Mus musculus: one gene and its partners. The protein of the gene in region 1 interacts with the protein of each later gene in a biochemical or structural test. Links are inferred from orthologs where the notes say so. Each region holds a gene or a part of one and is shown in the gene's direction. Other genes may lie near its edges.

What was found.
Region 2: of the proteins of Creb1 (region 1) and Rps6ka5, one has a biochemical effect on the other in vitro, tested with the Homo sapiens proteins (3 studies listed by BioGRID, with this or other methods). The link is inferred for Mus musculus from reciprocal best matches to the Homo sapiens genes CREB1 and RPS6KA5.
Region 3: of the proteins of Creb1 (region 1) and Cdk1, one has a biochemical effect on the other in vitro, tested with the Homo sapiens proteins (2 studies listed by BioGRID). The link is inferred for Mus musculus from reciprocal best matches to the Homo sapiens genes CREB1 and CDK1.

The regions. Positions count from the first base shown.
Region 1 is NC_000067.6:64,566,923-64,570,825, forward strand, and holds part of Creb1 (cyclic AMP-responsive element-binding protein 1), read left to right. Parts: intron 1-3,211; coding exon 3,212-3,354; intron 3,355-3,903.
Region 2 is NC_000078.6:100,554,002-100,557,904, reverse strand, and holds part of Rps6ka5 (ribosomal protein S6 kinase alpha-5), read left to right. Parts: intron 1-3,471; coding exon 3,472-3,631; intron 3,632-3,903. UniProt on the Homo sapiens protein: Serine/threonine-protein kinase that is required for the mitogen or stress-induced phosphorylation of the transcription factors CREB1 and ATF1 and for the regulation of the transcription factors RELA, STAT3 and ETV1/ER81, and that contributes to gene activation by histone phosphorylation and functions in the regulation of inflammatory genes.
Region 3 is NC_000076.6:69,342,794-69,346,696, reverse strand, and holds part of Cdk1 (cyclin-dependent kinase 1), read left to right. Parts: intron 1-465; coding exon 466-622; intron 623-1,512; coding exon 1,513-1,636; intron 1,637-3,903. UniProt on the Homo sapiens protein: Plays a key role in the control of the eukaryotic cell cycle by modulating the centrosome cycle as well as mitotic onset; promotes G2-M transition via association with multiple interphase cyclins.

The DNA.
Region 1 (3,903 bases):
TATGCCTTGCCTCAAAAGAAGGTCAAAACCAATTACTACAATATATCAATTGGTTCCATGTTAAGTATATCAAGAAACAACATTATCTATTAATCTCATGCTTACTTAAGAATTCCCTTAACAGAGTTAACAGAGACAAAGTTTGGAGCTGAGACAAAAGGATGGACAATCTAGAGACTGCCATATCTGGGCATCCATCCCATAATTAGCCTCCAAACGATGACACCATTGCATACACTAGCAAGATTTTGCTGAAAGGACCCTGATATAGCTGTCTCTTGTGAGACTATGCAGGGCCTAGCAAACACATAAGTAGATGCTCACAGTCAGCTATTGGATGGATCACAGGGCCCCCAATGGAGGAGCTAGAGAAAGTACCCAAGGAGCTAAAGAGATCTGCAACCCTGTAGGTGCAACAACATTATGAACTAACCAGTACCCCGGAGCTCTTGACTCTAGCTGCATATGTATCAGAAGATGGCCTAGTCGGCCATCACTGGAAAGAGAGGCCCATTGGACTTGCAAAGTTTATATGCCCCAGTACAGGGGAATGCCAGGGCCAAAAAAGGGAATGGGTGGGTAGGGAAATGGGGGGGAGGGTATGAGGGACTTTTGGGGTAGCATTCTAAATGTAATTGAGGAAAATACGTAATAATAAAAAATAAAAAAGAAAAGAATTCCGTTAACTTCAGAATTTTACAGTAACCTTCTGTGTTAGTTTAAATTATGCCTATTTATGTACATTTCTATTCATTATTTGTTTTTAGATTTATTTTGTTTTATGTTAATGGATGTTTTGTCTGCATATGTCTGTACACCAGTTGTGTGCATAGTGCCAACAAAGGTCAGAAGATGTTGGATCCCCTAGAACTGAGTTACCCATGGTTGTGAATCACTCTGGATGCTGGGAATCAAAACAGGCCTTATAATAGAGCAGCCAGTGCTCTTAACCTCTGAGCCGTCTATCTAGCCTTACTCCTTTTTTTAAAAAGTAGTTGATTGCCTTATCTCCCTCCATGTACTTACTTAGAGTTACTACTAAGCTCTTTTTCAATCCTCATCCAATTATAAATTCCAAATATTATTAGTTAATTAATTTTGAGGTCCTAAGAAATTTTATGTTGTAAGATATATATTATAGGCATTTATATGTATAGTCTTTACTATTTGTTTTATTTTGTGTGTGTGAGTATTTGTATTTCTGTACACCATGTGCATGACGTACCTGCAGAGGCTAGAAGTGATGTCAGGCCCTCTAGTACTAGAGTTAGAAACAGTGTGAGCTGCTTCTCTTTTGTTTTCAATATAGCATGTGTTAGATCTTGAGACATTGAAGTATATCTTATGTTAGTATGTAATACCTTTGATCCTGAAGCAAATCCAACAAAGTATTAAGAAGCAAGTCACATGACTTCTCCTAAATCCTAAGCAAATCATAGCTGCCAGATGGCTCCAGCAGATAAACATGCTGATGCAAGCTTGGTGACCTGAGTCTCAGCCACATAAGGCTGGAAGGCAAGAACCAAGTCCACCAAATTGTTCTATGACCTCCACACAGGGACCTCCTACTACATTCACACTTAAACAAACAAACAGACAAAACCCACACAAAGGCCAGCTTTATGTTTGTCTTAATATTTCTCTGGCCAAAATCCTAGCAAAAGTTATTTAAATCAACCATGCTTTACTAATGAAAGGAAAGCTCTCTAAAGAAAGCATGGAGAGAAAGGGTTATAAAGGGTACTGTTACCTTACCTTAGAGTTAAACCTTCACACTGAGATACTATTTATATGAAGGTTATGAATTCCTGAAATGTAGCCTTTATATCTATCTAGATTATAACAAGCTATTTAACAGATGCTTATAGTATGCTTGCAAGGTTAGAAAAATGAAATTGATTGATTATACAAAATAGGTTAAAGCAGTTAATTTGTATACAGCAGAAAGGTGCTCCATTTTGTCTCTTGTGGCTTGATATTTTCACCAGTAATTGTTCTGAAAAAATAGAAGCCATGCATATCAGATTTGCAAATGATAGAACCATCAGGCTTAATAAAGTGCCCTGGTGCTAGGAGCATGAGTGCCTTGAAAGGTCACAGCAGGCAAAGGAAATGGGCTGGAAAAATAAGGTGAAACTGTAATGACAACTGTAAAGTCTCTGAGACAGCTTACAAAATAAACAAGTTGTTCAAATATCTGATTCTGGATTTATTGATGAAGAAGTAAAGTTATTTATTTTTATCAGCCAATATAATCTAGAGCAAAAAGAACTAAAGTGTGAATAATGTCTTAGCTGTGGGTTTGGATTCTCATGCAAAGGGGAGCTAGATTAGATTGTGAGACTAAATTGATGATGTTTAAACTTCCAACGATAATCCTAAATAAGGAATATTTCTTCATGTTATAATAGCGCCAGGCATACAAGGTATGTAACTGTAATCCCAGTACTGGTGAGGCTAAGGCAGGAGGATTGTGATCTTCCCAACCTGAGATTCATAATAAGACACTGTCTGGACAGTGGTGGCACACGACTTTAATCCCAGCACTCTGGAGGCAGAGGCAGGCGGATTTCTGAGTTCCAGGACAGCCAGGGCTACACAGAGAAAAAAAAACAAAAAAAAAGCCAGGTGGTGGTGGTGCATGCCTTTTATCTCAGCACTTAGGAAGCAGAGAGGCAGATCTCTTGAATTTGGGCTAGCCTGTTCTATACAGGGTGACAAGGTGAGTTTCAGAATAACCAGGGCCACACAGAGAAACCCTGTCTTGGAAAAAACCAAACATACATACATTCATACGTATGTATGTGCATATATGTATACACATAGACACATGGCTTGTGAAGGCTGGAGTGAGTAAGGGGAGATGGTCTAAAGGACCCAGATTCAATCCCCAGGTCACATAGTATCTCACAACCATCTGGAACTCTAGTCTAAGATACACAGTGGCCTCTTCTGGCCTCTGCAGGCACCAGGCATGTGCAGATAAAACACCCAAACACATCACAAAAAATAAAATAAACATATGTAGTTTTATTTTTTATACTGCCCCACCACCACCACCACCACCACGCAATTCTTGCATTTGAAGTTCCTGCTTTGTTTGGAGTTTATTCATGTGTTTGAATTTTTGTCCTATACGTTAGTAGTTTTCTAATCTCTATTTGTACTTAGTGAATTTTTTTAAAATTAAAATAGCTCTTTATTTTTCTAGGAAAATTTTGAATGACTTATCTTCTGATGCACCAGGGGTGCCAAGGATTGAAGAAGAAAAGTCAGAAGAGGAGACTTCAGCCCCTGCCATCACCACTGTAACAGTGCCAACCCCCATTTACCAAACTAGCAGTGGGCAGTACAGTGAGTAATACATTTTTCTATTATGAAAAGTGAGAAGGAAAACTGTTAGAGTCTCTTTAAGAAAGTGATAAATGCCAAGGCTTTTGCTGCCAATATTGTTTGCCCTACTGTCAGACATTATTAAAGAATTGTTAAGAGGCATTTATTGGAAATGTCACTTTTTTTTTCTTTTATCCTATCTTCCCTTTCGCCATGTCTCTTACATGATTCATGCACAAATTACTATTTTTAATTTTAGAATGATGTTGGCTTGCCAGCCTGTAATTTGTATTCCAGCTGTATTTAAAGTAGATTCCTAAAGGAAAATTTTTAGCTTTTCCAACACTGAAACTTTTAGTATTATTTATAAGGGAGGGGGTTTTTTTTGTTGTTTTTTTTTTTTTTTTTAAGATTTGCTATTTTTATTCATGCGTGTGTGTGCTGCATGAGTTTATATGCATCACCTGTGTGCAGCAGTTCTGGGAAACCTTTGGATCAAATCCTTTGAAACTAGAGTGACAGACACTTGTGAGCCACCTAATATGGGTGCGGGGAACCAAGCCTAAGTAC
Region 2 (3,903 bases), on another chromosome or scaffold:
AGCCACTGCCGAAGAATAGAACTGCACATCACATTTTGGCACAGTGCTATGGAGGCTTCTCCCCTCTCTCACTGCATGGACATGGGTTTTTAATCTACCCTGTCTACACAGCATATGTATATAGGGTGGCTGGGGTTGGTTGGTTGGTTTGTTTCAAACAAGGGACTATTCTCTACAATAGCAGTGCCCACCATTTGTGACTGTGACTATGCTCTGTGATACCATTAACCTGATTTTTACGCTGTTTTTCTTAAACATTTAACCATTAAATCTACATGTTATATTATACCTGTAGTTGGAGTCTCCAACATTTGTTGAACCATTCTTTTGGTAATGAGCTGTTAGTATTTGCTCCCCCTTTTTTCACTAATTATAAGCTATAAGGATGAATCTTTCTCTATACACAGTTGCATTTGCCTTTAGTTCCTTAGATTCCCAGGAAGGTGTCCTTGTTTTCATTTTAACATAGAGGCCTGAACTTTCTTCTGTTAGGGTTGGTGCACATCATCAACTCAATGTGAGCATGTTGGATGTTACCCATCTTAACCTTCAGGTACACACCACTGTTCTTAATGTTGGTAGGCGTTCCTTTTAATACGCAGTCTGAGCTTCTTCCATACATGTGGACATTGGTTTCTTTGTTTATGGATTGCCACTTATGAGTTTGCCTATTTTCCTCTAGGCAGCTTTTCTTACAGAGAAAGCTCTAATAAAGATAGTTAACCTTTGTCTTTATCAATAATTGGAAATGTTTCTGTGGCTTACCTTTTTTTTTGTTTGTTTGTAGTAAATAGGATCTTGATTTTATTTTTAGAAAAGTTTAAGGAGAAGTGTTTTTGCTTTTGAATTTCCATGTGGTAAAATATGTCAGTCTTGTCTTCATGGCACATGGCTTTGATGTCAAGTTGTCACTGCCCTGCCCTCAATTCAGGGTTCCTGAAATACTCCTCAGAACCAGCATCTTACCTTCACAGGGCCATCTGTATTCCATCTGGGTTTCCCAGTGGCTAGCCACTTGCCCCTGCAGGCTGGCTCTTTAAGCCTTATATGGCTTTCATCTGGGCACTTTAAGTCATCATTTATCACTTTCAGACTGAACTTACAAATTTAGGAATAAGAAGTTTAAATAAAATAAATAAGCAACTTCTGTAGGCTACAGAGTTTTGAGGACTTAAGTTGATGATATTTTTATTAGCATTGTCCTAAAAACATATAAATACAAAAGAGCCCTTCATTTTTTGTATTTTCTTTTTCATTATAAAAGAGATGGTTCTTTAAATTTAGGCCCATTGTGACCATCAAGCTCCTTTAAGGTTTTCAAAGAGTCTCAGACATCCAAATAAATGTAGTCAAGCTCTTAAGTATATCCTAATTATTTCTTACATATACATATATTAATTTCATGTATGTATGTATGTATGTATGTATGTATATGAAAACAACCCTCTGGGAAGGCAAGGTAGAAGCCGCCCTGCCTAATAGATTTAATGGTTATATGTTTAAGAAAAACAGGATAAAAATCAGGTTAATGGTGTCATAGAGCATAGTCACAGTCACAGACGGCAGGCACTGCTTTCTTTTTACAGTGCACACTGTATTGTACAGACTACCAGTTTTTTCAGTAGATGATTTATAAGCAAAAAGATGTCATGAGGCCAGGCTTGGTGGTTCATTCCTATAATCCCATCACTCAGGCAGCTAGGTAGCAACAGGACTTTCCAAGTTCCAGGCCAGCCTAGGGAACAGTATGAAATCCTGTCTCTACAAACAATACAAAGTGCAAACCATGCACTAGAAACCCTTAAGGTACAGAATTTGTGTATTATTTGAATCCTAATTCCACAAAACCTAATTTAAATTGTTTGTTAAATTCACATTCTAAATATAATTAATTGATATAGCTATAATTATAATATATACCCAGCTTACATAATGCAGTGTTCGTATTACAAAATATGATCATTCATTAGATATCAAATACTACAAAAAATTACTGCTTTTTTTTTTTTTTTAGGAGTGACGTCAGTTGTAGTTTGTTAAAGCCTCGTCTTTTGTAGATACATAAGAAAACAGTTGCAGAAGAAAATGAGCAAAATCAGCAGCTGATTTTGATCATTTCAAATGATCAAAAAAGAGTTTTGCTAATTTCCCCATAAAATGAATGTGTCTCAGCTGTCTAGATCCTAACTTCCCTTCAGTAAGCACACCAAGCACAACATTTATTTGGAGCTCTTTATTTTACTTTAGAATTAGATGCCCCTCTTTCATCTTGCATTTAATAAATTGGAATGTTTTTTAATTAATTATCTTTATTGAATCAAATACATTACTCCAAGGAAATATATACTATGTGGTTTGATTATAATTTAGTGTACATCAAGAATGTTCAGTTCTTGTTTGAAATGCTTAGAACTCTAATTAAAGTAGAGCTTGGCCAGCTTAACAGTCTGCTTGGGCTGCTCATAATACTGCAAAGCGAGTGAAACATCAGAGACATAGTCTCTCATTGTTTTAGAGGTGGGAGAGTGCAAGGCCAGAGGGTTGCGAGGGTTAAGGCCGTAAGGTGTCTGGTGCAGACCTCCCTCTGAGGACTGCTGGCTCTCTGCTTATGCAGCGTCTGTGGCACGGGGTTGAATAGACAGGACTCTGGCGTCCATTCTCTCAAGGGTACTAATTGGATCAGGACCTTCGCTCATAACCTCCTTTCATCTTCAGTACCTCCAGAAGAGCCTTTTCTCTAAATACAGTTATGTTGGATAATCATATCTAAATTTAGGGGAGATCAAACCTTCCATTCACAACACAATATTTATAAAACAGTGGTCAGGACCCAGAGCATGCCTGTGAATTAGCACATGATCCCATTACAGCAGTTTCTCCAAGTGTTCTATTCTTCACCTCATGGTTCTCTTTGTTCTCAAAGTTTTCGTTTTTTTAAATGAGAATGTAAGAGAATACAACTCTGAATGTCTACTATTTTTCTGCATTTGCATTTTATAATTCCCCTATGTGCATGTTCTGTCAATATGTATATGCACACATAAAACATGTTCAAACAGATATATATATATGTATGTATATATATATATATGTATATATAAAATCATATATGTGTGTAGTTATATCTTTGATTTTTTTTGCTATACTGTTTGCAATTAAAGGTAGAAAGTTATTCTTTATAGAATTTGATGGCTAGCTGTTAAACAAAAATTGTGAGATCTCATTGATTGGGGCTCCTCTAGGTATAAATATAATTTTCAATTGTGATGTCATAAAAGCTGTGCTCCTTCCTTCCTTTTGCAAGTCTTTGAAATGTTACTTTGGCGACAGACATTAGTCTCTGAAATCCATTGGTGCTTACTGTAGTAGCAGGTAAGTTATGCTCATGGAGTCAGTATTAGCTTACTGTCATGGCGTGACAGTGGTTTTTGCAATTATTCTGATTTTTTTAACTTTCTTTTACCATGGCAGTATACAATGCTGTCAGGGCAGGTGCCATTCCAGTCTCATGACAGAAGTTTAACATGCACCAGTGCAGTGGAAATCATGAAGAAAATTAAAAAGGGAGACTTCTCCTTTGAAGGAGAAGCGTGGAAGAATGTATCCCAAGAGGCTAAAGATTTGATTCAAGGTAAGGCACTAGAGAAATCTCACCGTGCCCAGTACAGAAGTCTGTGTTTATTAATTGTTCCAGAAGTCCATGAGGATTCTCCAAGTCTTGCCAGGTGGCTCGTCGTCTTTTTTTCTGGAACTCTCCCTTATAATCTCATCCCATTTGCAGCATGCACTACCATGGCTCCTGTTGTCATCTTCCTACAAACCCTAAACAAACCTCGTCTTTTCTTGTGTGCTTTTCCCAACTATGTTGTACTTCTGTCTGCTTCCTTTAGAACGATGGCACTA
Region 3 (3,903 bases), on another chromosome or scaffold:
GTACAAGATAGCAGCTTTATTGGGTTTAATACAAATGCATGGTGCTTCTGTCTCCACTCTGCCGGGTGAGGACAGGTGGTTGTGTTTTGAGATGTGTAAGGTATCAAGGAAGTCCTAAGGCAGTCCAGTTTTTTGGAAGTTTCACAGTGCCTCCTCTTGGTACTGATTTCCAATCTTAAGTTTTTAATGTAGCGACTACATGCAGGATATTTGATAGGTGAATTTCAACCTGATCCATGTCCTAATGTTCACGTGAAGGAAGCTTAACTGGGAGGGAGATGTAGGATGACTCAGTGGGCTTTATTTCCAAACCATGTATATGTTAGATCGTAGTTATCTTCAATGCCTTTTTGAAAGCAGTGAGGGTTTAATGATGTGAGGGGCCTATCTGACTGCAGCTGGCATTTCTCTCGTGTGATACTCAAAGAGTTCAACTTAGAAGAAAATCTCTTTGCTTTCTTTCAGGTACTTACGGTGTGGTGTATAAGGGTAGACACAGAGTCACTGGCCAGATAGTGGCCATGAAGAAGATCAGACTTGAAAGCGAGGAAGAAGGAGTGCCCAGTACTGCAATTCGGGAAATCTCTCTATTAAAAGAACTTCGACATCCAAATATAGTCAGGTGTGCTGTGTTAGAACTGAAGCCACTCTCCCTGTGCTGCTGCACATCTGTTTTAAAGTAGAAATTTTTATGTACTTTCTGGTTCAAGTGGGATGGAGTCCTGCTTTGCTGATGGTGTTTGGAGAATTTGAGACAGGGTGCTAGAATTGGCTAGAGGAGCAAGGCACAGCCCTGGGACCCCTTCCATGGGGAGCTTGCTTAGCTCCTACTTTTAGGGCCCAGGTCCCCAGAGGCTCCTGAGACCAGGGGCCAGGCTGAGGTAGATAAGCTATGCTTTATTGACTTGCTTGGGCTGGGTCATTGAGGACGTTGTCTGGTGGTTCATTAGAATTTCTGTTGGTAGGAGGGACTGAACCCAGGCCTTTGGGTAGAGCTAAGAAAGTGCTCTACCACTGAGCTGTAGCCTCTGGCCTCCTAATATGGGGTTTTGAAATTATTAAGACAGGATATTACTCTAGCTCACCCAGGTTGGCCTGGAATTTACTGCTGTCCTCTAGCTCCCAAGTGCCGGGATTATGGGTTTAAACCACCGCACCCAGTCTCCAGCACTCACAGAATTACCCAGGGTGACCTTGTGCTCACTCCATCCTTTGCATCTAGAGATCCTTGCCTTACTTAGCACCTCTGGTAGCTGGCGTGACCTGCCTCTGCCCCTGGGTTCTAACTGTTGTTGCACTGGGGCTGGCACTAGGGAGCAGCTTTAATCTTCTCGAGCAGCCAGCTTTAGGAGTGCAGGCGGTGTGAGCTAGCTCCTCCTGCAGAGGAGGCTGTGGACTACTGTCCTGAACTTCCGTCCTCAAGTTCTACTTGAGAGTGAAGGTCACTGTTAGCAGTTATGCTGTTGGAAGTGGAGGCAGGCTGCTGGCTGGACTCACGCTTGCTCTGCTCAGCCTGCAGGATGTGCTCATGCAGGACTCCAGGCTGTATCTCATCTTTGAGTTCCTGTCCATGGACCTCAAGAAGTACCTGGACTCCATCCCTCCTGGGCAGTTCATGGATTCTTCACTCGTTAAGGTAAAGAGTTGCGTGCTTTTACTAATACGCTCTCTGAACGTGGGCTCCATCCTTGCGTTTTGTGGCTGCATCTTAGAAAACCTGTAAGGGAAGAGACAGCATTTTATTTTCCTTCCTTCCACCGGATGAGATCATCATCTGCCTGTCTCATTTCCAGAAGGTTCTAGAAGTGAGAAGTAGCGTCTGAGCACCTAAGTGCTACCCTGTGGCTTATGTATCACATTGCTGGGGGCAGGCCAGGCTACAGTGGTTATGTGCAGATCAGCGACAGCAGCCTGAGCCCGGTGCTGATGCTAAGTGGTCTTACTCTGACAAGTAGGCTTTGGTTAATGTAAACATTGTATTTCAGTTAAATTATAATTGTATTTATTGTTCTTTGTGTGTGGTACCGGGTATTGGATCCAGGGCATTGTGTATAATTGGGCAAGTGTTATTCTCAGCAAATGGGTATAGGTTGTAAATGTCTATGGTAAAGGGGTCTTCACCTTAAACCGGCTTTATTTTTCCACTGAACTCTGTGCATGCCTTGAGATGTTCACGTTGACTTTGTATGCATCTAAACCCAGTGGGATCCTTCTGTATGTGCACTGCACACGTTAGTTAGCCTCTCATGTCTCTGTTTCGTAGTGGTTTAATACTTTGTACAGCTAGTAAACCATTTCCACTTAGATTACTTCCTACTTTAGTGATGGCTGCAGTGAGTCGTCATGAGTGGTGGTGGAGGTTCATTCTGCAGCCCAGGCTGGCCTTGAACTCTCATCCTCAAGCCGCCATCTCCCAAGTGTGGGCATTATAAGCATGTGCCACCACACCCACCACTTTATGTCATTTTAGAGGTGGCTTCTTGGAACTGTGATAAAATCTGTGTTTATATTTAAGATCATGGTTGATAGGTCCTCTAAAAATCAATTACTATTTTATTACATTGTTACCAAGACTTGACTGTATGTAACTTTTAAATAGTCTCAGTGTATTATGGGAAGGGTTTTATTACAGTTATTCTATTTGACATTTAACATACTATTGTGTTTACTCATTTTTGCATAACCTGTACATATTCACTCATCTTTCTGTATTTCAGTGGTTTCAAAAGTCATTATTACTAACACACGGTGACTTGCTAGTGGTGCCCACCACTGCCAGTGCTCACACTGTATGGCTATTGCTGAGATGAAGGCTATGGCCTCAGCAAGCAACTTGAGGAGGAAAGTGGCCGTTTGGCTTACACTTGCATGTAACTGCTCATCACCCCAGGAAGTCAGGACAGGAGCTCCTGGCCAGGAACTTGGGGGCAGGAGCTGATTCAGAGGCTGTGGAGAGCCCAGGGCCACCAGTCCAGGGATGGCACCACCCATGATGAGCTGGGCCCTCTCCCAGCGATTACTAATTAAGAAAATGCCTTACAAGCTTGCTTACAACCTGTACTTAAGGAGGCATTTTCTCAGTTGAAGCTTCCTCTCCAATAACTCTAGCTTCTGTCAAGTTGACATAAAACTCTCCAGCAGAGTATTCTTAATGATTTTTTTGTTGTTTTGTTAAAGCCATAATGTATAAGATCAAATGTTTTAGAATAATGTCAATATTTTTCTGCTCTCTCCTATCTCCTAACTTTTCTTAAGTTATGGATAGGGAAAGATTCCTTTGGCTTTAGGATTGGAAGGCTTGGGGACATTTCAGAGGGAAAGTGCTTATGGCACAAGCACGAGGAGCTGAGCTCTGGTTCCCAGGCTCCACATGGAGGTGGTGAGGTGGTGGTGTGGCTCCACATGGAGGTGGTGAGGTGGTGTGGACATCTATAAGCCCAGAGGCTGAAGGACAGAGGCAGGGGCTGCGGGTGGGATGGCTCTGTTGTGTCCCAGGGCCATCCATTTTGATCAAAATGGTGAACTTCAGGTTTAATGAGAAATATCTGCCTGTCACTCGGGTACCTACATTGAAGAGTGCACATGTGTGGGCATGCACACACTAGAGAAGTAGGTTACGAACAAACTTTTACACATTCCCAGTTTAAGCTGTTTTACATATTTTCCTGTTGTCTCAAAAGAGGAAATGCACGTGTAAAGTGACAGAAATGGAAAAGCACAGCTTTATTCAGGATAGAAACAGTTGACACGAGTGCTGAGGAAACTTCTGCACAGAAAGCTAACATGTGACTTAAAGACAGGGACCAAAAATTTAAATGCTCATGTGGGCATAGATACATCTTCGATACTCACCTGTTTAAAGAGGCCTGAAGGGTCTTGTGGTAGCTACATTGTTTTCTCTGC